Schizosaccharomyces pombe: one gene and its partners. The gene in region 3 interacts genetically with the main gene of each other region. Each region holds a gene or a part of one and is shown on either strand. Other genes may lie near its edges.

Region 1 (13,130 bases), on a different chromosome or scaffold from region 3:
TAGGACATTGTATATGTTTCCCTTTGGGAGATTTCAAAAGGGATAACAGTCCTTCCAAAGTTCCTTCTCCTTTGAACCCAGAAGGAGAGAAATATATATATTTATGATATATATTTATTCAATAATTCCTTTTTCCTAAAAGGAGTTAATTGTAGATCACAAGAGTTCAGTTATTGTAAGCTACGCAGTTTGGTATCTGATTTAAGGATACGTAGAACTGCGGTGAGTTTTCCTTGTGATCTATTATATTACGATACACAGGTTGTATAAGTAGCAACTGAGTATAGGTATTGTATTAACTGGGTTATAATGTTACCTATCACTAATATAGCTCATAACTGAACTGAGGAACGAGGTTCAGCAGTAGCTCTATTTATAGTATTCAGATAATATTGATCTTAATAGATTATCATTAAGATCAATCTCCATATCGTATCATACATGGTACGATATATAATTAGAACATGTGACATATAGTGATACTCAACGTAGTGTATTATAGCGTAGTGTAGTATTGCTGACATTAAGTTCCTTTTAAGAGGGTTTACACGTTTGATGAACTCATTAACGATGCGTTGGGATGCGACAAGTTTAACCTGAGACGTGGTACAATAGCTAGTAGTTAATTTCTACAAAGTAGCAAAGGTAACAGACATGCTTATAGAGAGATGATAAAGTAATAGTAACAAATAGACTCTCAATCAGTCAATTTTATCAAATTAAATTATTGATTTAAAAAATAATTTGAATAATAAAAGAAAAAGTCTCTGAAATGTTTCAGTGGAGCGTGCGTTCGATCTTTCTATGAATTAAACATATAAGATGTAAATAGTGCATTGTAGTGTAAAGTAATGAGATTTAACACGGATTCACAATTCGAACGCTGACTAGGTGTATGAGAATTTCCTCTGTCAACTTCCAATTTTTTAGATTCGCCCTTGTCCCCCTTTTCTCCTTTGGCAATTGCATACAAAATGTCTGACTATGAAGAGGATGAGGCCTTTGGAATGGACGGTGCTGTTATGGAGGAGGAAGTCGATGAACTGGAGATGATCGATGAAAATGGGCAATCACAGCAAGGCGTCTCTCATCCTGGTGAACCTTCGACTACCGTTATTACTGAAGATGTTGCTAGCTCAAAAACAGCTCAATCTGGTAAAGCGGTAGCAAAGGAAGACCGAACCACTACTCCTTATATGACAAAGTATGAACGCGCTCGTATTTTGGGAACTCGAGCACTTCAAATTAGGTGAGTAGATGCGTGGATTTACAATAAAGCGTCGTACAAAGGCACTAGCGTAATTGCTTAAGTCCTGAATCGTTATGCTGTTTTGCAGTCATGGAGTTTAAAAAAAAACGATATAGTTAAAAATTTTTTTTTTATTTTCTAGTTAGGATTGTCTGATTATGATGAATTTTGTTTCTTTTCAATTGAGCTTTCTTTTAATTTCTAACTCTTTATTTTAGTATGAACGCACCTGTTTTAGTTGATTTGGAAGGTGAAACTGATCCTTTGCAAATTGCCATGAAGGAGCTTGCACAAAAAAAGATTCCTCTACTAGTCCGGCGATATTTACCCGATGGCAGTTATGAAGACTGGAGTGTAGCGGAGCTCATTTAATTTAAGAAGTGTTCCAATTTCAAATACGTTCTATCGCTCGTTCGATTCACCTCGTTCTTTTCCTAATTCTTTTGTTTTACGTGAGCGAAGCCGTTTGGCTATGGTAAAGAAAAGAAAATAAAAGCAAAAGGACTAAATTTTTAGCTCTATACCATTAATTTACGATTTAGAAATAGGGACGTATTTATCCTCGGGAGAAAAAAAAGGCTTGTGCTACTATTCTAGAAATCTTCTTTTCTTGTGTCAAAAAATTTTTTGGGGCATTTTAGCTCTCGTTCTTCAATGAATGCATTTAATAATAACTTTTTCCGATAGTTTTAGTAGCTGTGTAAATGTAAACTCATTGATCACGGAGTTTTTTGTACAACTGTTAATCTGAAAAAAATTCTAGAGCACAGAAAACTCAAAATTGCTTACTACACACCTATCATTCAGATATGTTCAAATGTTCTATTACTATCAGTTTCAAAGCATGGATTGCGAAATTTACAAGGTATAATATCTAATGAGTGTGCTCATGAGATGGATGCGAATGTTCACCAGAAGACCCATTTAAGTGTTGCCATCTATGAACCTGATTAGAGTCAGAGGAAAGTGGTGTCACGATACAACTGGAAAGGGCAGGGATAGCATCCAAAACAGTCTTTTCTACCTTTTGTGCCAATTCGGACGACTGTTGAGATGTGAAGGATGGAGGAACAGATATTATCACATGCATGGCATGTGCATTTCCTAATATAGTAACGATTTTATATGGAAGCTTTTCTCCCTTCAATAAAGCATCAGTTACTGCGATACGTAACTCTTCGGAAGGTGCTCGGTCCAAAAGCTGCAAGAAGGCCTTTTTAGAAGAGTTGAAGCCGGCACTAAAAACGACAATACTTACTAAACAACCAAAAAACGGATCTAGCCATGGAGCATTAAGAAAGTAAGTGCCGGATAAAGCAAGCAGTGAAACCATTCCCGTCAATGCATCTGCTCTATGATGCCAGGCATTGGCTAGTAAGATATTTGAATCTGTTTTTTGAGCCACCGTTCTCGCTAAATATACTATTAGAATCCAATAATAGGTGAAATTACTTACTTTTTCGGAAGAGCCATTCTTTAAGAACAACACTACCAAATATAAGGCCAAGTGCCATAAAGGGGTGTTCAAACAATAGTTGAGAAGGATTATGAGAATGACCAATGTGCGTGTGTTCTGAACCAGCGTATGGGAATAGTATAGTATACAATCTCGATAACGATGAATGAGCAATGCCTACAGATACAGCCACCAATAAACCAGATACGGTGAATGTACCTATGGTTTCCCATTTGCCAAAACCGGCAGGGTACTTTTGTGTGGGCTTCTTGCTACATATTTTCAAGGTAGCCAATGTTACCAAGTCCGAAAGTGTATCTCCTAATTGATGAGCAGCATCGGCGACAAGAATGCTAGATTGTAGAGCAACTCCGCCGATACCTTTGGCGGCTGCTAAGCCTATATTGCTGTATCTATAAAAAGTGTTAATAGTCAAGAATATCTATAATAAAGGGAAGAAATTGTCAAAAGATCTGTCGTAGAACGAAAGCATAAGAGAGTACCAGTTTAAAAATGGTCTCATTAAATATCATGAGTTATTTAGCTAACTTTAGGGCTACAGTTCCTTTGTTGCCGCTATGCTCCGAATTGATAAGAAAAGATGACTTTCTTTTTTTCTTTTCCATACTTACAATCCTAACCACGCAAGTTTCAGCTCTGGAGATTTCCCTTCTTTTTTCAAAGCTTTAACAAGCTCTAACATTTCTTTGTCCGATCCATGGTCATGGGTATGAGTGTGAGAGCCAACACTATGCATTCTTACAGCATTCCGAATTTCAAAGCCAGATTTCTCGTGCAATCTGCTGCACAATGTCGGTAGAAAACGCGGCATCGCTCGACATGAGCGCGCTGACGAATTGAACGTTTTCAGCATAGTGAGTTTTGTACTGTTAATTCAAGAAAAGGGATATCTATATATAAAACAAAACTTCTAAAGAAGTAAATATGTAGAAAACCTGGAAATTAGGGCTCAACCGGCTGTCTGTGAACTTTCGATTGCGGATGCAATCTATTTTTAAGTGTATTAATATTTTTATCAGAAATTGCAGACGAGGTTCAGGAACTTTGACTTACTTAATTAAACTGTGTTCAAAAATAAAAAATGGATAACTTAATAATCCGAGCGAAGCCTAAAAATCTAAAAAACCTCCTATTTCAATTCTGCAAAATTTGAGCTTGCAAACTCATAATTTTGTAAGCAGCGTCTGACTTTCAATTATAAAAATCTAAATATCCGTCCAATTCTCTTAAATTAGTTAAGATCTTTGTTTTGTTTAGGATCGGTCTCTTCTATCGATTGTGTATATATGTATCTAGGAGAACGTAAGATGTCGATCCCGTACTTATCAGATCAATGTGAAACTTTACTACACCAGATTTGCACATCCGAGAATCTTTTAATTATGGATAGTTTATTTATATATTAACTAAACACTTTATTTTGTAGCGCATTACGGGTTTAACAAAAAGATTTATAATTTCATTATCAGTCAAGATCTACCATTATTATTTCACCAATATTAAATAGCATAAAATATATACATTTTCTTTAGTAACATGTGAATTAACGAAAACGAATGAACTAGTATACAACAAGGATAAATGATATTTCCAAGCGTTAAGCACAAAATGAATATTGGGAAAGGAAGTCGCTTCGGCGCAGCATAGCTAATCATTCCCATTAATATCTAGCTGTATTTGTTCCAAACAGTAAGACAAGCAGACGAAAGGGCATAAGTTGATGTACAATGCACCACTTCCGAAAGAGTATTCAAAACCTCACTAACATAAGAGTCTCCTTCACTTTCCGCATACATCTGTTTCACAGCGACTGATGTAGAAGCATAAAACTTTCCTACTTCAGTAGTTTGGTAGATAGTATCAATTGGGAGACCGAAAACAACCTTTACCTTAGATGATACCGAACGCAGGTATAGCTCAACATTTATGATAATAGACTTATCATCATTTTCAACTGACAAAAAGGGCCAATGGTACCATAATCGCTGGAAATCTTGGACAAGATAAACAATTTGTTCCCAACAAATTGAAACATCGTTAAGATACTTCTTCAGAAGACGTAAGTTCCTAGAAAATACCTTGGAATGCCATTTAGAAAACGACGATGCAACATGCTCGAGCACATTTGAGCTGCAAGCATTACTTTCGTTAGGGAACTTACAGGCAATATCAACGTTAACTTGGAAATTTTGCCTCAAAATCTCAACCGTAACCTCGGCTGAATAAGGAGAAAGAGCAGTGTTATTTGTAGCTAATTTAATTCCGCCCGCGGTCAAAGAAACTATGGTCCAGCCAAGTTCATTTTTAAGATTTAACAACTGCTCCTCGTATCGCTTAATTTCGTCAAATTCAAAATCTTGGTTTTTCGCATAAAAATCTTGTTCAGCGTTGGTACGTAATTCCAAATCAGAGCAAGAGTTTGTCACTTGTTCTATCTTTATTGCCAACTCCTTTCTTCTTTCTTCTTTTTCACTCAGAAGCCGACGTCTCCTCTCAACCTCAACCTTGAGTTTCTCTAACTTTTCTTGCGCCTGCGCTAGAAGAGTTGAGTCATACTGATTTGCAAATTCCTTCTGCTTCTTTAATGTCTGTACTGTAGTAATACTACCATTGTATCTCTCTTGAATTTCCTGCGCATACGGATGAATAACATTCGCGACATCCATTAAATGGGTCAAGCTTCTTTGCATCCCAGTTAAATTTAAATTTAATTCATGTTTGATTCCTTGCATCAAACCCTCACGCCATTCGTACCAATCACCTTTTGCTTGAAGTCTAGCAAAAGTTTTCATCATTAAAAATTGTGAATCCATTAAAACCCTCATATCACTGGATGCTTTCCTATACTCATAGAATAGTAACGGGTTCTCTTTCAAAGTTTCCTCTTCAATTTTAGTAACAAAATCCTTCCCTTCGGCAATATAATCCTGTAATTGCTGACAACTAAATTTGTATAACTCTAACAAAGGGAATTGTATGTAAAAAGATTCCAAAAGTTCTTGGATACTGCATTTCTTATTTTCTTCAGCATTTGGCAATAGGGTTTCTCGTCTTTTAGCAATAGTAAGATTATCCAAAAATTCAATTCCGGTCATTTTAAGAAAATCTGATAGGCTTATCGGCTCGACGTTTGGTAGAGTTGGCATCGTATCAAATTCTGGCTCATTACCAACAGGTATTTCTTCATTTGGACCAGAGTCTTGATTCAAAATGTTCGTGTTAATAGTCGAAGCGCCCAACGATGTATCAACATTGCTCACACCTTTTGATAATTTGACGGGTGACTTCTCATGTTCATTCATGCCCACGGAAGTTGTATTACCTGCATTTGACGAACCAACTTGAACAAGTTCATTCCGGTTGGGTTCCTGAGATTCCAATCGCTCCAAACTAGTTGAATCGGCGTAATCTGCAGTTGTTATACGCTCTTTTTCATCCTCATTCGAAGGTTGTTGAGGAAGCTTAACAGAAGAAGTCGTATTAGTTGGAACGTGCTTAATTTCGTTAGTCTGTTGAATTGTTAGTCGCTCTGTTTTACTCAATCCAGAATCAACATCTGCATTAGACACTTGTTCGCCTTTGTCATCAGTGGGTTGCCTTGAAACTTCTTCAGGAAGACTTGAAAGCGGCTTTTCTGTGGTGAATGGCTTCTCTGCGGTAAGTGGAGTAGCTCCTAGACGATAATTTTCGGATCGCTCAACCGATTTATAGAGACCAGAATTTACTTTTTTTTCGAAAAAGTTAACCGGTAGAAGTTCTCTGTCATTCAAAGTTGAAATTGATTTTCGAGCATTACGGATTGTTGCAAGACGATTGCGACGCAAGGTACTTTGATCAAAACTTGAAGTGCTATATCTTAAGCGTCTTTTCCGAGTACCAAGCTTATCAGTAGGAGTCGCTACCACATGTCTACTTGGAGAAGAAGAGTTAGGATCTTTCGAAAATTTTAGATTATTGTTCCCATTTGGTGACCGTTCATGGTTGGTAAAGGAGGTAGTATTGAAATTTTCTGACTTATCACTATATGAGGGTATTTCTTCTCTCTCGGCATTTTCCTTGTCTGCTGAAGGTAACTCAACATTGTTTCCACGGATTTGAAAAGCCACTGTTTCGTCCATAGCAGCTTCTTCCACCTCAAGATGAGATGTAGAATTCTCACAAGGAAAAACTGTTGAGGTTAATTCCATTGGTTGCTCTTCGGAAAGTGCTTCTTTAGAAGGGGATAATATATTGAAAGGTCTAGTAATGTCCATAAAGTCCTCACTGTCGGGAATGGGCTTTGAAGAATTGGCAGTCTTGTTATTATCCTTTCTCGGTTTTGAAGAAGAGGATATATTTGAGGTAAATTGATTTAAATCATCTTCATTCAAATGGGTGGGTGCATTTGTAGAGCTAATGGGTTGTGTCAAGTCCATTATTTGCTCTTCCATGGATCGTGACGATGGACGAATGGGGGAAAGGAGAGTTAAATGTGAGTTTTCGATATTAAAGGCGGAGGTGGTATCCATTTCTTCTTCTCCATTAGTTAAATCGTTCGGAGAATGATTAGTTAAGTGAGGATTAGCATTAATTGGTCGGGTAAGGTTCATAGGCGCTTCTTCTAAGTTTTGTAAATCTAAGCCATTGGAAAAATGAGACACTGGAGATAAATTAATGTTATTAGAGGTAATATCCATGTCAACAATAGCTTCTTGGGAAGTTAAAGGGCGAGCGATGGGGGAAAAGTGTTGCGGAATTTCAATAGGTCGAGTTAGCATCATATCTTCTTCTTCTTCTTTATTTTCCGACTGATCGTGATTTTCGTTATTTTTGGAGAAATCCGAAATTTCAATACTAGTTGGACTAGATGATTTGTTAGGGGATGAAAGTTGAGTTTGGTTTGAAGGGTCATGAGAAGCTTTTAAACTATAAACAGTACCTTGCTCGCTAGAGCTAAGACCTTTAATTGATTCGGAATGTGATAAAAACGAATCTGCTTCTTGGAATTGGATAGTCAAATCCATGTTAGTTTCCTCTCTATCATTAACCTGCTCTCTCGTGGCATCGTGAACATCAAGTGCCTTTTCTGCTTCAGGTAAGGCTTTTGTTGGATTCTGGATACTTAAATCATCATTCTCCGGATACAGAGAAGGAGGCGGATGGCCAGCATTCAATGCCTCAGAGACCATATCTGATTCGGTTGACCGAATAGGGGACGCAATGTCCATATCACTACCGTCTGAAATAATCGAGGCACTATGACTATGGGGAGATGATTGTGTTTCGTTTCTCGAAAAACTTGTCGTTGTTGGACCTTTAGGGGAATGGTTTTTAGCATCAGATGCAAAAGTTCGCTCAGGTGTGCTGTGATTAGATGTCGACTTTTCCGAGTCACTCTGGTGATCTTTAGGATACCAACGTACACGTGCATGACTAGCAAAGGAAACTCTTCTGTTCAAACTTTTTCTAGACGTCTCACGCGACAATTGCTGTAGGTCTTCCATTTGAAGTCTCTTTGACGCAGCCATAACATTACTAGAGATTCCAATGACCGTGTTATTTATTTGTGTGTGTATATCATTAAAGTCTTCATCTCCTGTGAAAGCGGGATCTACGGAAAAGGATGAATAACTCTTTAGAATGCCTTTTGCTGGATTTGTGTGTTCTTTAAGTTCTTGAAGCGCACCAGGTCCTCCAAGCGAGTGTGGACGCTTCCTACTTTTGTTTCTTCCTATAACATTATCGGTCGTCGCTATACTATTGCGACGAGGCGATGTTGGCATCGTCAAGTTAAACAAAGCACGTCGACACACGAACTTTGTTGTTTTTAGATTAAGACGAACATAAGAAATTGTAATGATAGTTCGTTAAATTTATGGCGGTGAGTTTCTTTTTGCGGCCTAGAACGCCTTTCGTTGTATTATTTAAGGAGTCTGTAAGCCTTTTTAGGATACGGTAGACTACGATGATGCTTTCTGTAATCATTCCTGTTAGCTAATCTGAATAAATAATGAATAAAGATCCTATTTGTAAAAGTTCCAATGAACAATATGACTGTTGTTCATTCTTATCATTAACAAATTGTATAAAGTAAAGGTAAATTGGGGGTACTTTTGTTCAACTGGGTCTATTTGTAATATTGGGTTTTCTGTAAACAATAAGGTAATGAGCATCACAAGCATATGCGCACTGTGATGGAGGAATACAAACTTCAAAAAGGTATAGATATCTAAGATTCACTTGAATGTTTTGTCAAATGAGCCGCACTGTTCTTTTGGCATAATTTAATGGATTAACTTGAAAGCAATGTGCGGTTGTAAGAAGTATAAGTAAATTGTAGCGAGGTTGTTATAAATTATTATTTCGCAAATTGTATATTATAATAATACTCGTGAATATTCCTTTAAAGGAGTGTGTTTATTTAATATCATTCCAGCGGCTTATAATCAATAATCGAGAAAAAAACTGTTTATTGTTAGTATTTCTATAATTTGATGGATATTGCCATGAACTTACAACCACATGTAATTCTATGTTCTACTTTCCATTGAGGTTCTCGTAACCTGTTCCATCATTGTTTACTATTCAAAAGTGGTTATAAAAGGTTACCGGCTAAGCAAATATAAGCTAGCTCATTCTGAACTATTTCCTGTTCATTTCCATGGTTATACTTAGCCATAGTGAAATTGACCAGACATTAATTCGTGTACTTTTCCTTTTACGATGATATATTGATCACAAATAGAAATTATAAATCCTTTTAAGTCAGATTACGATTGCGTTGCTAAGACCTGAAATTGATATATTATGTACTATAATCCATATGTGTTATTAACAACACTAATGCTTTCAAATCACAGTAAAGCTTAGTAACATAACTAGCATTTGTACAACATTTAAATGAGTAAAAAAAAAACAAGTATGGCTGAGCTCGCTTGTCTTAATATTTTTTATTAGAATGATAAATCATATACCACGATTAGGATTTCTTTGAAGAATGGAAATACAAAAGGACGTAAAATGTTTATATTCGGCACAGGAAGGATAGCGTTGTATAAACGAATGATAATTGTTCAGTATTTCAAACAAGTAAGGCTTTTGTCATCAATACTAACATTCTTTTTTTTTTTTTAAATCCGGGAAATTGACAATTCTTACAATTGGATATTTGTAAATCCCGTGTATCCCGTAGTATGGTATGATATTCTATTCGTTGCATTTGGTATAAGCCTTCAAATACGAGCAGACTTGGTTAGCCCAATATCATTCTCCCATTTGGATTTAGTCAATGTTACGATATAAATGGTCACAAATCTCCGGTATCGTAATGTTATCCAGTTTCAAACGACATAACATGTTTCAATTTAATAATGACTTATTAATAGTTGCATAACTACTGTATTTCACTAGAATCCTTTACTTAGCATAATGTGTGTGACATGATAAAAAGGGCGTCAGACATCTTCTCTGAGGAAGATTTGATAAAAATAGAAAAAGTATTGTCTATACAGCAGTCCAGGCTTGTCCTTTAACAATTGCAAAAATATAGATTATTCCACAATTCATTTAGCATACTAACTTTACTTAAAAGGGGCCAAACTAATGCTTCAAATTGCAAGGATTAGCCAAAATTGTGCCAAAAAAAAAAGAAAAAAACACACAATAAGACAAGTATTTCTTCGTTACAACACTAAATAATGAAATCCCAAGAATCACGAAGTTTTCTATGAGTGCTCCATCATAAATATTCTCTAAACAAGTGGACTTAATGTATCCAAACATAAACAAATACAGAAATCACACCCATTAAATATTTTATGTAACGATCCGCTTAATAATAAAATTGTAAATTTATAAAAATAAAAAAATAAAACCACGCAGTATTCAATAATATTTATCTCCGGGTACAATGAAGCTCCTAGTAAATATAAAAGACAATTGCAAATTCAGGTAATCGACCGGTAATTTTTACACAATAATGAAAGCATTGTTACGAGACTGACCTATAAGATGGTATTATTACTAAATGAGTCTGCAACCACGCCTATATTAGGTCAAAAAGCAAACCAAGGGAGAAATGAAGTCAATAATACGCATAGGAGACGAATATAAGCTGTGAGCTAACCAAACCGCAATAAGAGGCTTACAATTGTTCCCCGCATGATTTTTTGAAGCTTTTACTATAAAAAGGAGTCCTTCGTAACGGCTGGCGACTTACTAATTGTCATCCAATTCAAACAAATTTTGTCAGTCTTTTATACACAACAATAGAGCCAATTCCAGTTCTTTTACCTTTTCATCCTCACCAATCTTTTGCGCATAGTCGTTTTAATAACCTTTGACTAATATGCAACGAAATAACGGCGAAGGGCGACCTGAGGGTATGCATAGAATTAGCCGCTTTTTACACGGCAATCCTTTCAAGAATAATGCTTCTCCTCAAGATGATTCAACCACAAGGACAGAAGTTTATGAGGAAGGGGGAGTGGAAGACTCCGCCGTCGATTATGATAACGCTTCAGGAAACGCAGCTCCACGTTTAACTGCCGCACCTAACACTCATGCTCAGCAAGCGAATTTGCAAAGTGGTAACACATCAATTACCCATGAAACTCAAAGTACCTCCCGAGGACAGGAGGCTACTACATCTCCATCGCTATCTGCTTCCCATGAAAAGCCTGCCCGTCCTCAAACCGGCGAAGGCAGTGATAATGAAGATGAAGACGAAGATATTGATGCCCTAATTGAAGACTTGTATTCTCAAGATCAAGAAGAAGAACAAGTAGAAGAGGAGGAATCTCCTGGACCTGCTGGAGCTGCTAAAGTAGTCCCCGAAGAGCTCCTTGAGACAGATCCCAAATACGGTCTCACAGAATCTGAAGTCGAAGAGAGGAAAAAGAAATACGGTCTTAATCAAATGAAAGAAGAAAAGACAAATAATATTAAAAAATTCCTTTCATTTTTTGTGGGTCCAATTCAATTTGTAATGGAGCTAGCTGCTGCATTAGCAGCAGGTCTCCGTGATTGGGTTGATTTCGGTGTGATCTGCGCTCTTCTGTTGTTGAATGCAACGGTCGGCTTTGTTCAAGAATATCAAGCAGGATCCATTGTTGATGAACTAAAGAAAACAATGGCGTTAAAGGCAAGCGTTCTTCGCGACGGTAGAGTGAAAGAAATTGAGGCCAGCGAAATTGTTCCAGGTGATATTTTGCATCTTGATGAAGGAACTATATGCCCAGCTGATGGTCGCCTTATTACAAAGGATTGTTTTCTCCAAGTGGATCAATCCGCAATCACCGGTGAATCTTTGGCAGTGGATAAACACCAAAATGATACCATGTACTCATCTTCAACGGTGAAACGTGGAGAAGCTTTTATGGTAGTAACAGCAACAGCCGATTCAACTTTCGTAGGACGAGCAGCTTCTTTAGTCGGGGCAGCTGGTCAAAGCCAGGGCCACTTTACCGAAGTTTTGAATGGCATAGGTACAATTCTTTTGGTTTTGGTTATCCTCACCCTTTTATGCATTTATACAGCTGCATTTTATCGTTCTGTTCGTTTAGCTGCTCTGTTAGAATACACTCTGGCTATTACCATCATCGGCGTCCCAGTCGGTCTTCCTGCTGTTGTTACCACAACTATGGCAGTTGGCGCAGCCTACCTGGCTAAGAAGAAAGCCATTGTACAAAAGCTGTCAGCTATTGAATCACTCGCTGGAGTTGAAATCCTCTGCTCTGACAAAACTGGTACATTAACGAAAAACAGGTTATCGCTTGGAGAACCTTACTGCGTTGAAGGCGTCTCACCCGATGATCTTATGCTTACCGCATGTCTGGCTTCTTCGAGAAAAAAGAAAGGGTTAGACGCCATTGACAAAGCATTCCTTAAAGCGCTAAGAAATTACCCAAAAGCAAAGGACCAATTGTCAAAATATAAAGTTCTCGACTTTCATCCATTTGACCCTGTTTCTAAGAAAATTACAGCATATGTTGAGGCCCCTGACGGTCAAAGGATAACCTGTGTGAAGGGCGCCCCTTTATGGGTCTTTAAAACTGTACAAGACGATCACGAGGTGCCCGAAGCCATTACAGATGCGTACAGGGAACAAGTCAATGACATGGCTTCACGTGGTTTTCGTTCATTAGGTGTTGCGAGAAAAGCCGATGGAAAGCAATGGGAAATATTAGGTATTATGCCGTGCTCAGATCCACCCCGTCATGATACGGCTCGAACTATTCATGAAGCCATCGGTTTAGGTTTACGTATTAAAATGCTTACTGGTGATGCGGTTGGTATTGCCAAAGAGACAGCTCGTCAACTTGGTATGGGTACAAACGTCTATAATGCTGAACGCTTAGGTTTAAGTGGAGGTGGTGATATGCCAGGTTCGGAAGTCAATGACTTTGTAGAAGCTGCTGATGGATT
Region 2 (10,138 bases), 1.3 Mb from region 3:
AAGTCGAAAACATTTAGAAGTCATTGCTTTCTTAGAAGACACGTTTTAATTACTTTTAATTAAATTTTTATTAGCGCAAATTCTGGTTGGTCATATATTCTGTAAGGGAAAAGTAAGTAGTAATATAAATTTGACATGACTTTTCAAAGCAGCTTCGAACCCTTTTTAAGATGTTAATTTAATTTACTGAATATTAATGGAAGGTTTGGATCAATTAAAAAATATTAAAATGCTTTAAATGCTATTATTGTTGCAACATTTCATTGTAAGTATATGTAAATAATCGGAATGTCAGATTTCAACTTAAGAAATTAAAAATTGAGTAGATCAGGAGATTATAAAGAAATAATTTGCTTCGGCATTGCTATATATTTTTTTGGAGATACTAACAAATGACATTTCATGACTCTGGTGATTAGGTTCTCGTTTTAAACTAAAATAATCATTGAAACGCATATCAATATATTTTTCTATATCGTGTTGTTCACCAGAAGCCTTCAATGCTTTATATAGGTGTTCAAATAATTTGCATGAATCTCTTTAATCCTCATCAGTTTTAATCGCTAGGATGCTGAAGATACAGATTTCTCATAGGCAATTTGTAATCACTAGTCATTCGTTTTGTACGACCAAAGCGCATCTATCCGGACAGGACATGAATTAGGTATTATTATAAACTCACAACATTTCATACTCTACTTAAAATTAGATGGGTTTTGCAATTACTTGATGTACTTGATGTTTTTTTTATTGTGCTCAAACTGAAAATATAACACCGGTTTAATTAATAGGCAATACTGAAATACCACGAATTGGTCGGTGATACTCATATAACCTGTACGTTTGAAGTTTTATGAATATACTCCGTTGCCTACAATAAAATTAATAAAAGACTATGATAAAAGTTTGAAATAAATCACATATTGTAAACATGGTAATCCTAACTCACTATTCATCTACTTACTCTCCTTAGTTAACCCACCATCACACCTGAACAATAGTACGCACTAAACAAAGAGACTCATTGTTTTTCGAGTTGATAATTTAGAAAAACCTGACAATCCTTTTTAATAAAACACTTATAATTAAATTTTCGGCCTTTAAGTATTTGTTTCTTTGAGTTGAGAATTGTACAACGGATGCCAAATTAATGAAATGGATCCCATTGATCCCGAGTTAAATGAAATTTTGGATTTTACAGAATATGGACCATTAACACCCATTCCTCAGGATGATGGCGAAAACCCATTAGCGAAAATTTGCTACACGACAGGATATGAACAAGGAATGGCTTATTTTCGTGCCATTATGGCTAAAAAGGAGTACTCCTTGAGAGCACTTAATTTAACAGGTTTCTTGATTATGAATAATCCAGCTCATTATACAGTATGGGCTTATAGATTTCAAATCCTAAACCACACGCCCAGTTACATAGACAATGAATTAGAATGGCTCGATGAAATTGCCGAAGATTTTCAAAAAAACTACCAGGTTTGGCATCATAGGCAAAAAATACTTTCTTTGACTAAGAATTATGAGCGTGAACTTGAGTTTACGAAAAAGATGTTTGAAATTGACAGTAAAAATTATCATGTCTGGTCCTACCGAGTTTGGATCTTGCAAAATTTTAATGATTATTCTCAAGAGCTGAAGTTAACCAACGAATTATTGGAAAAAGACATTTATAACAATTCGGCTTGGAATCATAGATTTTATGTTTTGTTTGAAACCTCCAAGGTGGTTTCTTGGTCTTTGGAAGAGGAACTGAATTATCTGAAAGACAAAATCCTTTTTGCTCCTGACAATCAGAGTGCTTGGAATTATTTGTGTGGGTAAGTATCTCTCATTTCCATTAATTACATTCTTCATTAACTTTTTTACAGTGTACTTGACAAATCAGGACCTTCAAAACTTGATAATCTCATAGCTAATCTCCGAAAAAATTTGCCTGCTTTACACAAGCCACTCTTAGAGTTTTTAGCTATGTACGAGCCTTCGTCGTCTGAAGAGATTTATCAAAAACTAGCAAATGAGGTTGACGTACCGCATGCCGCTTTATGGACATGGATGTCCCAAAGGAGCAATCCTTAAATCTATGCTTTGAATGCTAATTGGGTTTACTGATATTTTGATAAAGCATCTTGTTTAAAATTCCTACTAATTAAGAAAGTAGTTGTGATGTATAGTGAATCGTTTATGAAATCAATAACATTAGTCATTCCTCCAATTGTAAGTTTCACATAATAGTGAACAAGTAATGGTTATTAGGCCAAACAAAGAATAAAAAAAATGTCAGAGGCATATTTTTACTTTTCTTTCTTAAGGTTTCTTCGAACAAGTTCCAAAAATCTATAGATATGTTAGTGTTCGCACAATCAATGGAATACATTCAAAAAAACATACGCAGGATCATTTTGAATTCCAGATTTTTTAAATATCTCCGTGATAGTTTCAGCTAACTGCTTGAATTCCGGATCACGAGTAATCTTTAGGATAGTAAGAGGTGACGGTTTTGAACCAGCTTCAAGGCCGTATTTCTCAAAAAACTGACGAAGACGGCCAACCTTTTGAGCAAGTTCCGGATCATTAACAACTAATGAACTCATTTTCTCTTCAAGTTTCTGGACTTGCTCATCCATTACTGGATCCTTGAAAATAGTGTCGTCAGGTTGCGTAGTCGCACTTCTCTTCCATGTTAATATACTAGGAAACCTATTCCTATACAGAAGAGCATTGTTGTATGTAAGAGGCCTTCTGATAGTCAGCTGAGACAAATACTTCCAATATTTCATATTTGTAAGGTGGTGGTTAATTTTGTGTTCTAAAGAAGTATGAGGGATTAGGGAATGTGTCGCTCAGATAAGCTTGCTGCGGCAAATTAATACAAACTCTAAACGAAATGAAATCTTTGTTTTGGATACGTATTATTCACTCATAATTCTAAAATTTTGACTGGCAATATAATACTTTGATTCTTCCTGTTGTAGAACTATATTGTCTCTTAAAGGAAGTTAGTAGAGGATCTTAGTACAAGAAGGTAAATACAATAAAAACTGACATACGAAAATACATGAGGTTTTTTTCCATCGAAACGTATTGTTCCTGAAACAACAATTATGATATTCATATCATTACCCATGACCTGTTGACTATCGAAATCCTCAACTTTAGTTTTGGAGTATGGAAGATTAACTATCATAGAGGTAAATTCGGTTACTTGCATGGGTTTTCCATTCCATAAGATCAAACTATTTTCTCTGTAAAATTCTGCGATCCCATTTCTGTTCGTATCAAGAGATGAGTAATACCGTTGGACGAACTCCTGCGCATCTTTAATTGTTAGTTTATAGATAAAGCTTTAGTAATGCGGCATTTAACATACATTTTACACTCGACTCCATAATGATTCACAATGACAGAAATTTGTAGTGGTGTAAGTAGTCATTTAAACAGGTACATGTGTTATAAATTGAAATATTGTACTCATTAAGCGATATTTAAAGATAATCTTTGTTCAACACACTGAATGGATATTTCGGCTAGATATCTTTATGACTACGATTTTTACTTATAACATGAAGAGTGGAGAACAATTATGTGTACTCATTTGCCATACTACAAAAGCATAGATCACGTAAAAACTCAACGAATGATTAATATATTAGTAAAAAAATATATATTCGAATGTAACATGATAACTCGAAAGACAATTTGTTGTAAATGAAAACAAAAAATAAATATATGTTCGAAGAAATAGGTCATTAAAAGCCATGGTATGGCAAGCGAAGAAGATGGGAGAATAAGTGGTTTAAAGCTGAATCAACATTTTTTTGACTCAGAAATGCATTGGAAACAAAATGCTTTTTTACAAGTGCTGGAAGAATGAGGGTTCTGAGTGCTACTTCCTGAGAACGAAGTTTGTTGACTTAAAGGTTGAAAACCAAGATTAAAATGATGGGTAGAAAGATTAGGTCGAGGGGATATCATTGAAATTAATGAAATAAAGTTTCTTCGTTTTGTAGAATTGGAGTTTCGGACTTTTGACTTAGAAAAAGATCTACGTAAAGGAGTTTTAGGAGATGATAATAAAGGGTTCCTTCTTCTCGGTGAAGATAAAGTATCAGAGATGACGTGCAAAATCTCATTTTGTTCTATGCTTTTATGCTTGATTGTATCCAAACCACGCTGATCTGTTAATGTTCCTGATGAGTTTGGCAACAGACAAGATTTTTTTTCCAAAGCTGAAGCATCAACTTTTCTTGTTTTATCATTGATTTTTAGTCTCACGCATGACTGAGAGGGTATAGTTTCATTACAAACATTTTCCACAAAAAGTGAAGCTAAAGGAACTTCATCTGCAAACACACAATCTGACACCATTTCATCACGAAGTGATAGATTTTTAAATTTATAGATCTGGGGAGACTGAAAATCCTCTATATGGACTGGTGAAACAGCTTTTTCCCCTGGGTTGCCAATGCTTGAGTCTAATTTTTTTTCGTATCCATTTGACGCTGAGATTTCAAGGTTGTTAAATGTAGGATCCCATATATCATCTTTTGTTTTTAAAGCTTCTAGATGTCCATTATTAACAATAATTTCACCAGTTGCAAGATCTACTTCATCAGCTATATCAGAAGTGTCGCGTCCATATTTTTTGAAAAGAGATTCCAAAAAGTCGTTGTACTTCTTTTCGGACTCAATTCTTTTACAAAACACATCATCACAAGCCGTAGGATTAGTATTAAATTCGACAGACTGAAAAGACAACAGATGTGGACAAGAATAGTTTGGAGGCAGGTCAACGGCTTTCGGTTGACGATTGCACATGATTGAAAGTTAAAATCATTTGGTATTGAGAAATTTTGTTCAAAAAATCCTTTCCAATAAATTTCTTAAGGCAAAAATTGGAGATTTTCAGTTATTAGTAGGAAAGCGATTTCAGTAGTGGTTTATTAGTGAACGGTGCCATAACTGTAGACTTGTATTAGAGTTTCGTAACTAATTCACGAATGACTTTTAGATTTAATTTCTGTTAGAACTTAGAGATCAAAAAAAAAAGATAATGAAAAGTTCTTTTGAATAGTTTATGCAAAAGTGTAATTTCAATGATGGTCGCTTAACGCTTGTAAATTAACTCATTGCTCCAAAAGACTGATTTATCTGTTCTTGCACTAATTCTATACTGTTTAAGAATTTCTAAAATACATAAAATTAATAGACATACAATTTTGTAATAATAACGAACGCTGCGATACCTTGTGGATTCCAACGAACATAGCAATTCCACATTACTTTTTTAATGATAAAATGAGAAATCAACGATACCTAAAATAAAGAAAATAAGGATACTCGTTTTGGTGAATATTACTTTGCATCATTTGCACAATTTAATAAAAAAATCCCATAAGTTGAGCATTCCATTTGTCACATCGCCCCAAAGAAGCGTGACGATTCTTTGGCTTTCTTTCACAAATAATTCGTATTAGTTGAAAGCGTTCTGTTCGACAAGTTTAGCCATATTTTGATTGTTCATTCATGTAAATATGAGGATACGTAGCGCAGCTCCTCAATAGAATTCTTTTAGAAAGTGTCTATTGTACCAACTAGTAACTATTATCAATTCCATTACAACATAGAATTGGAGAAATCATCGCTAAATAATTAGAACAAAGGATGAATTGATCTCGGCATTGTTTGCATTCTTACTAAGTGCCAAGTGAAACAGACAATAGCGAGAACAATAGAAATGTTAAACAAAACGACAGAACAATTTGGACACGATAGGGAACGTATTGTAAAATAAACTATTTTTGGCTCTTTGTGACTTAGTCTCATGAACACAGTCTTCTATAACTTGAAGCAAAACCGAGTCGTTTCATGTTTCAGTTTCTTACGGTATGCTTGTTTTGAACAATTTCTTTACCGAAGCATTCACATGAAAAGAATTACTACACCATATGGAATATGACAATAGGAATTACTCATTCCCCTCCAACAATAAACGTACCCGTTACCTGAATAGCACAGCATGCCGATGAAACAAAGGAAGTTGAGTACAGCGCAACTCTTTCAACTACTCCATAATTGCACTTTCTTTAAAACACTACACCATTGTTTGAGCATTGTATAGTTCAAATACTCGAATTTCTTTGTATTCCTTCACCATGGATCCTAAGTATAAAAAACCGCATAGAGCTCCATATTTGTCATTACATTTGAAGGTTTCGTAAAGCAAGCTGAATAAGAAACTGCAATCAGAAAAAAAAGAAGGGAACGACGAAGACTTTGTTTTAGTACTAGTATTGCAATTGACAAATAGGTTCAGCAAGGAATTTTGATCACTTAACTCGATTTTTTTGAAACCTCTCTGATTTTGCCATTCGCTCGTCTACTTATTCCTCATTACCTTTTGACACTCTTTTGCTTTTTCATTTTTTAGTTTTTTTCAGACTAGTAGAATTTTGAAATAACTTCTCATTGCATTGCATCGCATTTCTCAATTTTTTATCTATCTTTTGATTTGAGTCTTGCTTCTTTTTAATACTTTCTTTTCTTCTTCTTTGAAAAACATTATTAATTATAATTTTTCTTTTATCGCTTGATCTTCCCATAATTCGTCATGTCGATTGCTTTGGCTTTCTTTATTCTCGTTTTGCTAGGATTTTCCTGGGCATCCCCATCTGCACTTGATGACACTTTTAACGTCAGTCGGTCAGTAGGTTTAATTTCATCTTCTAATTTAGAATCTTGCCAATCAAGCCCTCTCGAAGTTGGCAATATCTATAACTCAACCTCTGCTTCTGAGATTCTAAGTACCTTAGATGCCAAGTACATTACTATAATTGGTGTTATCGGGTCTTCCAACTCCTCCATTCAAGACTTAATTGACTCTGTTGGCAATTCTAATAATGCAGCTTCTTCCAATCCTACTTCCACCGTTACGGAATACGTTGACAGAGTTCAAACTGTTACAGAATATGTTACGTTGTCTTGTGGTCAAGCTTTCACTTCTACAGTAGACATTTCTTCTAGTACTAGTTCATCTGTTATCAACTCACCTACTGGTACGGCTGTTAGCTCTCAAATTTCCACATTATCCATGAGCCCTTCATCAACACCCGTATTTTCTCCATCAGCTAGCGTTTCATCGAAAGTAGCTAGTTCTGTTAGTTATGTTTCCAGTGAACCCAGTGACTCATCTTCATCCACAAATACAGTGATTTTGACTACATCTGTTAATTCCCCTGCTGTTAGCAGTTCGGAAACACTTACTTCTGTAAGTATCACTTCTACCGAATCGGCATATACTTCTTCATCCGTAGACATTGCAGCTTCAACTACTGCTTCGAGTACACTTCCTGTTAGTACTTCAGAAGCTACTGTTTCCTTTTCTACTGATATCCCCGCAACACCCTCCACTTTGTCTTCTCCAGCTTCAAGCTCGTCCAGCTATTTAGTGGAAACATCTTCCACTCTTACTGATAGTGTGTTTACTACTGTAACCGCTACAAGTGATTCTAGTGTTATCACCTACACGTTAATCAACTCTGTAACTTCCAGCTCTGAAACTACAAATTTGCCTTCTTCAAGTTCATCTTTGGTTACTATTGGTGAAAGTAGCTTTCCTAGTTCCCTCCTTTCACTACTAACCCAATCCTTCTCCACCGTACGCTCTACTAGCTCTTCGTCTACTGATCAATTGACTTCAGCCTCACCAATCTCATCATCAGTTATTTCGCCATCGGTGAGTTCTCCAACCAGTTCTATTTTAACAAATTCTGGTTCAATAAAATCAGGTGATCATCAAATAGTTACTACTTCATTTGTTCAAACAACCACTCACGGTTCTCAGGTTGAAACCCTCACTTATGTTACGACTCTCACTGAAACAATTTTAACAACCACTTATGACTCTCACACATTCCTGACAACCATCACTCCTTCACCTTCAAATTCTATAAGCTATACAAACAATACCTTCATTCCTTCGAGTTCGATTAAATCTTCCATTGTGTATAGCGTTACCCCTACATCTGCAGAAAACTATACTTCTTCCGAAGCTTTTTCAACCTCTAGTTCATTAGTTGTTATTCCCCCTGTAAATTCATCTCTTGTTACAAGCTCTACTTCTTTCACTAAGTTTTCAAGTCTTAGCTCTTCTCAGTTGAGCACAGAAAACTTTACCTCTGCTTCTTCTTCCTTAAGCTTAACGAATGCTAAATCATCATTGAGCACTCCATCGACTACGATACCTACTTCAAACTCATCGGTTTCTTTGCAGACTTCTTCAAGTCTGATAATTTCTAGTCCGATTATATCTTCATCACTTACAGCGACTAGTACTTCAACACCTGCGCTAACGCATTCAATCACTCCTTCCAATACTTCTTACACTTCAAGTCTAATCCCTTCTAGCAGCACAGATTATTCTAGTAGTTTAATTACTGTTTGCAGCAATGTCACTAGCGAAATTTCTTCTACTTCTTTAGCTTCCTTAATCTCCACCTTAACTAGTCAGCAAATAAGCTCAAATAAGTCTTCCGAATTTGTTGGTCAAACAACTACAGAATATACTACTTCTGGTTCCGTTGGATTTACCACTACGTTAGCTACGCAGTCTGGTAGTGTACCTGGTACCGTACTTGTTGACGTCCCTACACCATCCTGGATAACTGAAACCGTTACATCTGGATCTGTTGGGTTCACCACAACCATTGCTACTCCCATTGGAACCACTGCTGGAACTGTCCTAGTCGATATTCCTACACCATCTTGGGTAACTGAAACCGTTACATCTGGATCTATTGGATTCACTACCACTATTGCTACTCCCATTGGATCCACTGCTGGTACCGTACTTGTAGACGTCCCTACACCATCCTGGGTAACTGAAACTGTTACATCTGGATCTGTTGGATTCACCACAACCATTGCTACTCCCATTGGATCCACTGCTGGAACGGTTCTCGTTGATATTCCTACACCATCTTGGGTAACTGAAACTGTTACATCTGGATCTGTTGGGTTCACCACAACCATTGCTACCCCCGTTGGAACCACTGCTGGAACTGTCCTAGTCGATATTCCTACACCATCTTGGGTAACTGAAACCGTCACATCTGGATCTGTTGGATTCACTACCACTATTGCTACTCCCGTTGGAACCACTGCCGGGACAGTAGTTGTAGACGTCCCAACACCATCCTGGGTAACTGAAACTGTTACATCTGGATCTGTTGGATTCACCACAACCATTGCTACTCCCATTGGATCCACTGCTGGAACGGTTCTCGTTGATATTCCTACACCATCTTGGGTAACTGAAACTGTTACATCTGGATCTGTTGGGTTCACCACAACCATTGCTACCCCCGTTGGAACCACTGCTGGAACTGTCCTAGTCGATATTCCTACACCATCTTGGGTAACTGAAACTGTTACATCTGGATCTGTCGGATTCACCACAACCATTGCTACTCCCATTGGAACCACTGCTGGAACGGTTCTCGTTGATATTCCTACACCATCTTGGGTAACTGAAACTGTTACATCTGGATCTGTTGGGTTCACCACAACCATTGCTACCCCCGTTGGAACCACTGCTGGAACTGTCCTAGTCGATATTCCTACACCATCTTGGGTAACTGAAACTGTTACATCTGGATCTGTCGGATTCACCACAACCATTGCTACTCCCATTGGAACCACTGCTGGAACGGTTCTCGTTGATATTCCCCAACAACACGCTACTACTACAACTACAACAACGTTTGATGGCTTTAGTGGATATACCAGTTCATACACTGGTTCAATCACAGAAACCATTGTAATTGGAACACCTCACCATTCTGTAGTTGATGTTTCTTAGATAAAGTTAATGTTTTATATTTATTTTACATATTAATTAAAATCGTGTTATTTTCTTAAATCTTTATTGTTAATTTATCGCTTTATCACAGCGATTAGCTTGATTTATTGTGTACTTTGTAAGCCAAGGAAGCAGCTGCAAGATCTTCCCTCGAATCACCAACAGATTTAAACAATGTAATCGCTTCAGCAGGATTTTTCAGTTGTGAGCGTCCGCTATGTTTATTGTTGCATAGATCAAAAAGATCGGCTATTACTTCATTTGGAG
Region 3 (9,761 bases):
CTGTCTGCAGCCCTAAGCTTGGGCACAGTACTTTTTTGTCTGCATACTTTTCTTTGTGACTCTACAGTTCTTATGACATGGTCGTGGGATGGGTATCCTATTAAGGGACCGCAACCTTATCCACACGGTGCCGTTTCAATAGTTGTTTCCATTTGCGCTGTTTTGGTAGCCCCTTATTTATATCAATCAGGTGCTTTTATGCTTATTGGATTTGTTTTAGCCTGCTTCGGATCATATTTTATGTATATTAACCATGGATGGTGTAGTTATTTGGGTGGGTTAATATTTACTTCCTACGTTTTAATTTACTCGTTCGCTTCTATCAGAATTTCCTCCTTCTATTCTCCTGCGAAGGTTTGGGGTGGCGCTTTTTTGGTTTACATCCTTTACTCATTAGCTCATGTTTGGGTCGTAGCCTACGAGTTTGTTCCAGGTGGACCCATTCTTCGAGAGAGAACTTCTTACATTCTAATTTTCATTGGTTGGAACCTTGCAGCTTTAGTACCTGCGTATTCGGGTGAGTCCAAAGAACCCAACAAAGCAGACTCATCTGTAGTAGATATCAAACAATCAGATTCTTCTTATCGTAGAAGAAGTTTCAAAAAATCACTATTGACAGGTTTTTGTCTGGCTCTTATGGCCCTAAAATTTGCCATTCAGAATATGCCTCCGTATGACTATACACCTTACCATCCAAATGAAAAGCTTTTCACTGCTGGTATTTGGACTATTCACTTTGGCTTAGACAATTTCATGTATGCAAGTGAGAATCGTATACGCGATGCTGTTCGAGATATGGAACTTGATGTCTTTGGTCTACTGGAATCTGACACACAACGTTTAATTATGGGATTTCGAGATTTAACCCAGGTTTTAGCACATGATCTAGGAATGTATGCGGATTATGGCCCAGGCCCTGATAAACATACTTGGGGCGCTGCGTTACTCTCCAAATTTCCTATTGTCAACTCGACTCACCATTTGTTACCTTCTCCTCAAGGAGAACTTGCTCCTGCTATTCATGCAACACTAGATGTCTACGGAGAGCTAATAGATGTTGTGGTTTCTCACAATGGTCAATATGAAAGTCAGTTGGATCGACGTCTTCAGAGCACTGAGTTGGCTCGAATTATGCGCGAGAGTCCAAGGCCTCTAGTGTTTCTCGGATATGTTGTTTCAAACGTTGGCCAAGAACCCCAAACTATTCTAACGCGAGACACGGGAATGTTAGACATTGAACCTGCTGACTATGATCGTTGGTGTCAGTATATATTTTATCGAGGTGTCAAGCGAATTGGTTATGCTAGACTTCATCGCTCTACTATAACAGACACCGAGCTTCAAACCGGAAAGTTTTTGGTTACCAAAGATTTAGGTAGGAACGTCAGAATCGACAAGGAACACGTTCCTGAATCACACAGGTATCCATCATTATTTGAAGGAACGGGTGTTAATGGACATTACTATGACAATAATTTAGTTGTTCACGAGCCGTGGTACTATGATTAAAATCACAAATTTGATTCATTTAAATTTCCATGGTTTTGAAAAGAAAAAGACTGATATAATTAGAATCAATATAAGCATTATACGAATTTGATAAACTATTTAATATGTTGTCTGCAGTTATGCACTGATTAATAAGATTTGTTAAGATTAGTACATTATGAATCAACCGGTTTGTTTCTGGTGAGCAGTTGGAATGAAGTATAAGTTGAGATGAAATAGCACTAAATTAATATTAGTTTACCCGTATATTAAAATTATTAATGATTAAGGAGTTTTTTCCAATCGGGCAACTACTCTAGGGAGATTTTTCTTTAAATATGCTACTTTAGCAATAGTCTGCTCGTATCGGTCGATGTCCTCTTTTCTAAACACAGTTGTCGAAGTTTGTTCATCCGGGTTTTCTACTTCTTTATCTTGGAGAGAAACATAGTCATCTTTCACGTTTCTTAAAAATGCGGTCTGTTGCTCCATCGCATCAACATATGCCTTTTCATATTGTGCTGGTACAGACTTTCGGTATCGAGCCACTAGGACATGAGCATCTTCTACTTCATTGAATAATTGTTGGACTCGAGTACGAAGAGCCAGATCAAATGGCTCAATTTGGTCGGAATTTTTTGGATCTTGCAAGGCTGAATTTGCATCAAAGCCATTGATTGTAACGTTTTCTTGTATTATTGAGAAAGTGGATTCAATCAGCTATATGTTAAGCATTAGTAATTGAAGAGGTCTCTCATTTTACTTTATATATATATATATTTTTTTTAATCGAAGCTGCTATGGAATTTCGACTTTATGGCTGATTAGAAGCGTGTACTGTATACTCACCTCGTTTAACATTTCTTTGACTCGAATTCGCAATTGGTCTTCACGACCCATTCCAGCTTCCCGTGAAGCTTGTTCTGGTAAATGAATAGCAAGTTTTTCTTGTATGGCTTGACGAAACACCGATTTTACGTAACTGTAATCGTTGATACTTATAAAGTGTTAAAATCAGATTTTCTAATTTCAAATTAAAAGCATAAATAAAAGCTCTAAACTACATGGGATTATGAAACACACCTTTCCAATGCAATTTTTGGTAAAACGCTAGCATCTCCGTGAGACGACATGAATGCTAGAAAGAAATGTTTTTCTTTAAGAATATATGATTAATAGATTAGAATATATTAAGAGAAAGTTAAATTTTTAGCTGAGAGATAGAAATCATTAGTCTGAAAAGAATTTGGATGTGATAGTACTGGCTGAAAACTTAAGCGATAGCTTAATTACGCTATGTAAATAGATAGAAAAGAACCATTGTATATAGATCAGGTTATCCCAGAAGCTCCAAATTATGAAGATATTCTTCATAAGTACACCCGATTTCCAAGGACTTATAGCGAGTAGCAGTTATTTGTAAAGAACGTATTGATCCATAGTAGCCTGCTTTATGTATCAAGCTTTCTAGGGTTTCCTCTTGATCCCAACGTTGTTCAGCCGCTACAGAAGGTAGATAAGTCGAAGAATAACGAATTCCATTTGCCGTAAATTTAATAGACACGCCATGTATGCCAACTTCCCAATCTAATGGATCATCTATCGGTTCAAAGTCGACTAACAAGTCTATCTGGCACTCTAAAAGAGCCAATTCTCCCAAGGAGATAGGACGAAAACGTTCATCACAAAATGCACTATTTTTAAAATGTTGTATTAGCATTCGGTTACTCTTCTTTTCAATTTCATCGGCAATTTCATACGAAGGTCTATGATTTATCATTGACGCCTACAACGAACTATGAACCATTTTTAGACACACTTACGCTTGTTTACTGAAATATGTTAAATTTGTAACTAAAGGACGTGCCCGGAAAGTTCCAATGCAACCTCGTAGTTGTTTATCATGGCCTTTTCCAGATGCAAACTTTACGAACAGAGGGATACTACGGGTCCAACTCTTTGCATTCCACTTGTCTCGGACCTTTCGATGCTCTAAAGTTGCAGCAACTACTTCAAAGCAATAATAACAATACTCTTTCTTGTCCATTTATATTAGTGGTAGTAGCAATTGCCTACGGACGCTTTCGGTACAATTTGTAAGCCATGGTATTTTATTCATACATCATTCCAACTTTCTTTGTTTAAGGATGGCCAACAAATCATACGTTGTAAGTGATTACGATAACGTCCAAGTTCATTATACTGTTTCATGTTTCATGTTAAAAAAAGTTAGTTAGTAGGGCCCTGTTTATGTCTTCTGTCATAAAGTGAAAGAAAATGGAGAACTTGTTTAACTGTACACTAAAGCATTCTTTACAAAATAAATACTCTTCTAAGTTTTCACTACCTAGTTAAACAATTCATGCAACAGCAGCAAAACTTATTGAATTCAAAAGTAGTCATATATAAATTAACATTAAATCAAAAACAAGATTTGTAACCATAACTTCTTTTTCAGACTAAATAACAGTAACATGTTCCCATTCACAAAACTAGATGTATACGCGTATATAATATATATATATATGTATAGAGAGGGAGACAGATAAAGAGAGAAAAGTCCAAGCGTTTAAGCACCGAAGCCTTGTTTCTTGCATCGGAAAATCATTTCAAAAGGGGTGTCGCAAAAATTTTTATGTAGTTACCACAATATCCTAGTTATTGTACAAATCATTATCTACATTAACAGCATAAGTTCCGTACAAGCAGAATAAAAAAGTAAGCTTGCTGAAGCCTTGTATGTCTCAAGCCGACTTGCTTAAGAAAAAAAGAGCCACGGCAGAAATCTTATTCATCAGAGCGAACTTGCTCGGGAGGAGGGGTAGGGGGATGGGAGTACCTTTCCACATCAGAAAACAAAGTCAACGTATTGTCTTCAACTTTTTCAGCAGCAATTCGACATGCAGGCCTATCACTGACAACCCGCATCCAACGCTTAATATTTTTGTAAGGTTTCTGAGATAGGTAATCTCTTTGAGCAGCAAATATAGGAAAGCACATCTGCGGGTCCGCAGCGGTGAACTGTTCGCCTGCAAAGTATTCGTTCGATGCGAGGTGATTATCAATGTAGTCAAGGTTCAAAAATGTTTCTTTACTTAGATACTTGGATTTTATCCCATTCACAAACTGGCGAACAATATAACGAAAGAAAATGGGAGTCATGTTCACACTAAGATCCAAAACATGACTTGCCCAAATAAATGGCATAAGAGATGCTTCAGAAAAGTGCATCCATAATTCATATTTTTCCAATTCGGCAACATCCTCTTCTGAGGGTTTAAATGACGGTCCATACTTTCTGACCAGGTGCTCCAAAATGGCTGCACTTTCAATGTAAGTGACACCGTCATCGACAACGATAGGACTCTTGCCTAATGGTGACAACTTAGTATACGCTGGGGGAGCACGTCCGTCGACACGGTCATAAACTTTGATTTCATAAGGCACTTTGAGTTCTTCGAGCATCCATACAATTCGAGTAGAGCGAGAGTTCTTTAAGTGGTGTAAAACAATCATATCTGGTTACAAAAATAAAAACAAAATCAAATTGAATACTCAAAATAAATACTTTCTAAGATGCAATAATTTCGATCAAAGAAGGGAAGTATGTGGGAATTGGAATGTATATATGGGTGCTGCTGCGTCTACACCTCATATGCACGTCAGTCACCGAAATATATAGTGGCGTATGCAACAAATACGCAAAACACTTTATGTTTGCTTAAGAAAAAGATACAGTAGATATAGGAATGAAATAACATCTTCATTTGAATTGCTATCACTAGTCCGTCATGAGCCCGCTGTAAAGGTGCAGTACTAGATTTATATGAAAGACCAATTTTACTGTTGTAGTCAGTACATTTATACTAAAAGAGCAGCAGTTGGATTTACTTGGCATTCTGACTGACATATGAAAAGAAGTTCAGTGGTTGAATATCACAATACAGAAGCCATATTTTACATAAATTGGAGTTACGGTTTTTTCATAGTTAACAACGTATACTGCCTTGTAAAACGTGGTGTTAACAAAAAAGTTATAGTACTAAATTTGTATACCGAATATTCCAAAATAGTTCATAGACAAGCTATCTCAAACAGTTCAAACTGTTTCCAAAGACCAAGCAAGATATAATGATTAGTTTTTGATTCCAATAATATATGTTACTCGTTATAACACATAAAAGATATCTTGATTTTTCCTCAGCACTGCTGCAAAGGACGATTCTTATCTAAAACAGGACTTGAATTGACTTAAATCTAAAGCTGGGTTGTTTGCTGTTAATTTTGATGCTCAAAAATCCAAAATCTTTTTGTAAAAATGATATTGTTTTGCTTTAAAAACCATCAATTTTCACTCAAAAATCACTGATTAGCTAGCTAATGCCAACTCCCTTTCATGAGTACTCCATACTTATCGCACCAAGACTTTATAAGATCTAGCGAAACATTTAAATTTTTCCGCTTCAGCCAAAGTTGAAATTCTTCCACATCAATAGCAGAATACGTAAGAATTTTAATCCACACACTATTGTCTTTGGCTTGCTTAACAACTTGCGAAATTGCTCTATGAGTCTGTGTCACTATATCATCAAACTCCAATACTGTTTTAGTAGAAGTTATCAAATAATCATGGGGAGTTTCTTTGCCTAATTTTTTAGACTGAGATCGGCTATCGATTGCATCCAAACAAGATTCTACTATCTTAATGAGAGTTGCTTTCGAATCTGATGATTTGAAGCCATAACTTTCCGCTATAGCACGTAATTTTTCAACCGGAAAATTCTCCAACTTTTCTTTTAATGATTTAGCTTCATTATCAGCGTTTTTGTTAGTGTCCATGTAACCGGCATAGTTTAACAGGGTTCTGCTACGGTCATTAAATTCACATGAAGTAAACTCTTTAATATTGTCCGTTTTTTTTTTCTTATGTGTAGCACTATCGCCTTCAAGAAACGAGTTTGACTGACAAGTTGAGTCTATTGAATGACCGGCGCTTGGATGCCTTTGCTGAATTTCATCAACGGTGGAAACAGAAAAACAAACGTTTTCAGTAGAATTAGCCGATTCACAAAGTTCTTTTATAAGAGGACTCCTGTTGGCTTCAATTGATTTATTTCCTAACTTCTCTAAAGATTTTTCGAACAATTGAGGCTTCCTATGGTAATAAAAACCACTAGAAGATATTTCTTCCCTATTTGAGTGATATGCAGAGTGCTCGAAAGTATTTCTGCATGAAGCACTATTTTTAATTTTGCTGTATCTAGATAAAAGGACATCATTATCTTCAGCTACCCGAGTGTTAAGATCGGGTTCTAAGATATCTGATTCATTGTCGCTAAAGGAAGAAAAAAGAAGAGGGAGATTTTCAGTATCAAAATCTTCTTCATCCACAGCGTTTAAGTTGTGCTCATGAACCTTATGTCCCGTACAATTGTGATGCACAAGCTGTTGAGTAGACTCAAAATCACATTTAGAAGTTATCAGCCTAATTTCACAACATTCAGTAACAGATCTTTTTCGTTTACTATTACAATCTTTAGGGTTTTTGTTTAGCTCTGGCTCTATTGTTATCATGTCATCATCCTAAAGCTCAGTTAATATACATTTACTTCAGTTCAATGTAATATTTCTAATCATTTGCTATAGAATATCATATTTTTTTCATACGTCCGTGAATATATCAGGAGAAGATGATACCTCAATGTATTCTTCAGCCGACATCCATTTAATGAAACTTAGCTTGAAAGCAGCGTACTCAGAATCCTAAAACACCAAGAAAACGAAAGAATATCCCAAAAAATGATGAATATTTAATTTCGATTGTTTTGTTTTGTGTACTAGCCTGAATTTGTCGAAAGTTTTTCGTCCAGTTTCTTATTTTGGTTTAGACAAGTGGCAGCAAAACCAGAATATGCTTGATATTTTAACTCATCGTCTGATAAAAATAACTAAATGGTTTCACAAAAATGCGCAATACGAAAATGAAACAATATTTAGATAAAATCTTATTGATTGAAATGCAATGCTTCGTAAACAATACATAAATTAGAAAATTACAAAAGAGAGAAAAAAGTTAGGTAAAAAGTGTATGCAAAAGATTTATGATTTGAATCCCAATTTTTTTCCGAAAAGAGTTTTCATCTTTTTGGATTCTTTGATAGAGCTAGATGACGACTTGGCGTTTGATTGTTCACTTTTTGCTTTCTTCTTAAACAAATGTAAAATATCATTAGCAGCAGATTTAGACTTCTTTTTTGCTTCAGTAGCAATGTTGTGAGTTATAGTAACAGTTGACCTTGCAGGACTCAACGAAGGCTGCGTAATTCTTTTGGCAAGTTTGGTTGTAGTTGAAACTGGCTCAGAACGAGGAGGAGGAGGAGCTTCCTTTGGAGCCTCACCATCTTTTTCTAAGCAAAACTGAATCCAATTATCAAGGCCCGAATCGTATGCTGAATATTCTTGAATCTTTTGATTGAAAAAGTTGTAACGTTGATCGGTAGAACCTAATTCACCCAATCCATCGAACGACATCAATGGACTCTTGACAAACGCATCTAAGGTAGCAAAGTAATTTAAATTAGTTTCACTATTATCAGCCTTTTTGGAAATTCCAGAAGAAACAGCATCCGCTGAAGCACCGGAGTTAATGCTAGGAGAAGTGGTCGACTGCTGAGTTGAATTATTTTCAGCACTTTTAGAATGAGAAGATAAACCTGTCGTGCTTGTCTTTAGAGATAGTGTGTCTCGTTGATCCTCTTCCTGAACGACTATTTGCTTGTTGGGTTTTGGAGGTTCTGGCAAGGATCCACGGCTTAAGGCAGCAACTTCTAACTCATCTCTATTTAATGGTTCAGAGTGAGACTTATGTGTACTGGAATTACTGGATATTGAAACTGCATCGTGAGCAGCTACCACTTCGACCTTTGTAGTTGTCGTTTCTTCAATTGCGGGAGCCTTTGAGTTACTTGACTCAGTGTGAGAAGTAGTCGCTTCAACAATAGTTGGAAGACTAGTTTTATATGGATATACGTCTTGTTCTACAGAGGCTATTGTATGTTCATCGTCAGATGACCCCTTAGTCCAAAAAGGGTCTTCGGTATTCAACTTGGTAAGAGCTGGATCGGGCTCCTCCGAAAGATAACCATAGATACTTTCCAAGCTTTCTGAGTTTTTCAATAGTGCTCCTTCCTCTAGGGAGTTGTTAGAAACCAAAGAAGAGCGTGGAGATCCAACAACAGAAGCAGCTTGAGGTTCAATCCCTTGCTCGACAGAATTGGGTGATGTATCTCCTTTCACATCAACTTTTTCAAGGTTCGATTTTGAAATATGTTTCTCAGCATTGTCCTGAAGTAGATTGGAATTACTTTGAGTTTTTCCAACAAGGGTATATTTTGACGAATCGACAGGCAAATCGACAGCGCTGTCAGAAAAGCTATCAGGTATTGAATCGATAGAGCTGATAGCATCAAAATTTCGCAAAATACGACTATGAGTACCCGGTTGTTGGGAGAAAGAAGGATCGTTCGTAACTGTCTCAACCTCCGAATTGGTAGCATTATTTTGTTTAAGTGAACGAATTGTGGCTACCTCATCATCCACATCTGAATCTTGTAATCGTAGTTTAAGATTTTCTTCATCCAACTCACCTGAGGGCTGCTTACTAGGAGAATAAAGAAATGGTGAATTTACAGAAGTTATAGATGGATGATGCTCCGGTTTTGAGAGGTTTTCATCCTTCTCCTTTTCAGCATCGATTCCAAAATCGTTAGATAGTGAGTCCGAAAGTTCTTCCTCTGGGTTTTGCTGCGGAGACTCAACAAATGGAATAGACAAGCTATCAGTTGACTTAGTAGTTTGTAATTGCTTGACATGAGTGTCAATATCTGTTCGAGAAAGCTTTTCATCAGGACTAGGTATTTGTTCAAACTTCTCATTTGAATGATTCGAGTGTGAGCTTGTTATAGAATACGCATAACCCTTATTAATAATTTCGTCAGTTGGTTTCAAAATTGTATTAGTAGTCATGTTCGTATCTCCCTCCTCGACTTCTTGAACAACCTCAGATTGCTCAATTGCTTGTTCCGTAACAGGCTTTGAACTAGTTTCCAAAGTAGCTTTTTCACTCGTATTATCCAATTCATTGGCATCATCGTTAGCGGTAGAAACAATATCTTCTTTCACATTATTAGCAATTTCTACCGCCTCGGCAGAGTCCGGCAAAGTTTGCTCCATTAATTCGCTATCTAGTACTGCATGATCGTCATTAGGAGATT

What was found.
Region 1: of mis14 (region 3) and spc7, extra expression of one rescues a mutant of the other (dosage rescue), as found in Schizosaccharomyces pombe (one study listed by BioGRID).
Region 2: of mis14 (region 3) and scm3, extra expression of one impairs growth in a mutant of the other (dosage growth defect), as found in Schizosaccharomyces pombe (one study listed by BioGRID).

The regions. Positions count from the first base shown.
Region 1 is NC_003421.2:782,127-795,256, forward strand, and holds spc7 (outer kinetochore KNL network protein, KNL-1 family member, blinkin, Spc7), read right to left. Parts: upstream 8,535-13,130; 5' UTR 8,489-8,534; coding exon 4,394-8,488; 3' UTR 4,163-4,393; downstream 1-4,162. Other genes in the region: Tf2-12 (retrotransposable element/transposon Tf2-type), read right to left, coding at 1-8; DNA-directed RNA polymerase subunit Rpb6, read left to right, coding at 975-1,249, 1,468-1,621; mmt1 (mitochondrial iron ion transporter), read right to left, coding at 2,124-2,662, 2,706-3,118, 3,338-3,579; P3-type proton ATPase Pma2, read left to right, coding at 11,053-13,130. UniProt on the Schizosaccharomyces pombe protein: Acts as a component of the outer kinetochore KNL1 complex that serves as a docking point for spindle assembly checkpoint components and mediates microtubule-kinetochore interactions.
Region 2 is NC_003424.3:1,856,626-1,866,763, reverse strand, and holds scm3 (CENP-A histone chaperone Scm3), read right to left. Parts: upstream 4,958-10,138; 5' UTR 4,831-4,957; coding exon 3,820-4,830; 3' UTR 3,632-3,819; downstream 1-3,631. Other genes in the region: geranylgeranyltransferase type 1 alpha subunit Cwp1, read left to right, coding at 1,156-1,832, 1,884-2,091; protein dpc13, read right to left, coding at 2,307-2,349, 2,404-2,792; mRNA export receptor Nxt1, read right to left, coding at 3,002-3,330, 3,383-3,401; cell surface adhesion protein for conjugation Mam3, read left to right, coding at 6,623-9,871; SPOM_SPAP11E10.01 (ornithine cyclodeaminase family protein), read right to left, coding at 9,966-10,138. UniProt on the Schizosaccharomyces pombe protein: Centromeric protein that plays a central role in the incorporation and maintenance of histone H3-like variant CENPA at centromeres.
Region 3 is NC_003424.3:3,111,792-3,121,552, forward strand, and holds mis14 (MIS12/MIND complex Mis14/Nsl1), read right to left. Parts: upstream 2,756-9,761; 5' UTR 2,622-2,755; coding exon 2,572-2,621; exon of another isoform or gene 2,486-2,571; coding exon 2,338-2,485; exon of another isoform or gene 2,209-2,337; coding exon 1,774-2,208; 3' UTR 1,661-1,773; downstream 1-1,660. Other genes in the region: cwh43 (glycosylceramide biosynthesis protein), read left to right, coding at 1-1,509; SPOM_SPAC688.03C (AMMECR1 family protein), read right to left, coding at 2,825-3,182, 3,312-3,535; glutathione S-transferase Gst3, read right to left, coding at 4,276-5,004; structure-specific endonuclease subunit Slx4, read right to left, coding at 5,866-7,071, 7,156-7,209; protein Rng10, read right to left, coding at 7,588-9,761. UniProt on the Schizosaccharomyces pombe protein: Acts as a component of the NMS (Ndc80-MIND-Spc7) super complex which has a role in kinetochore function during late meiotic prophase and throughout the mitotic cell cycle.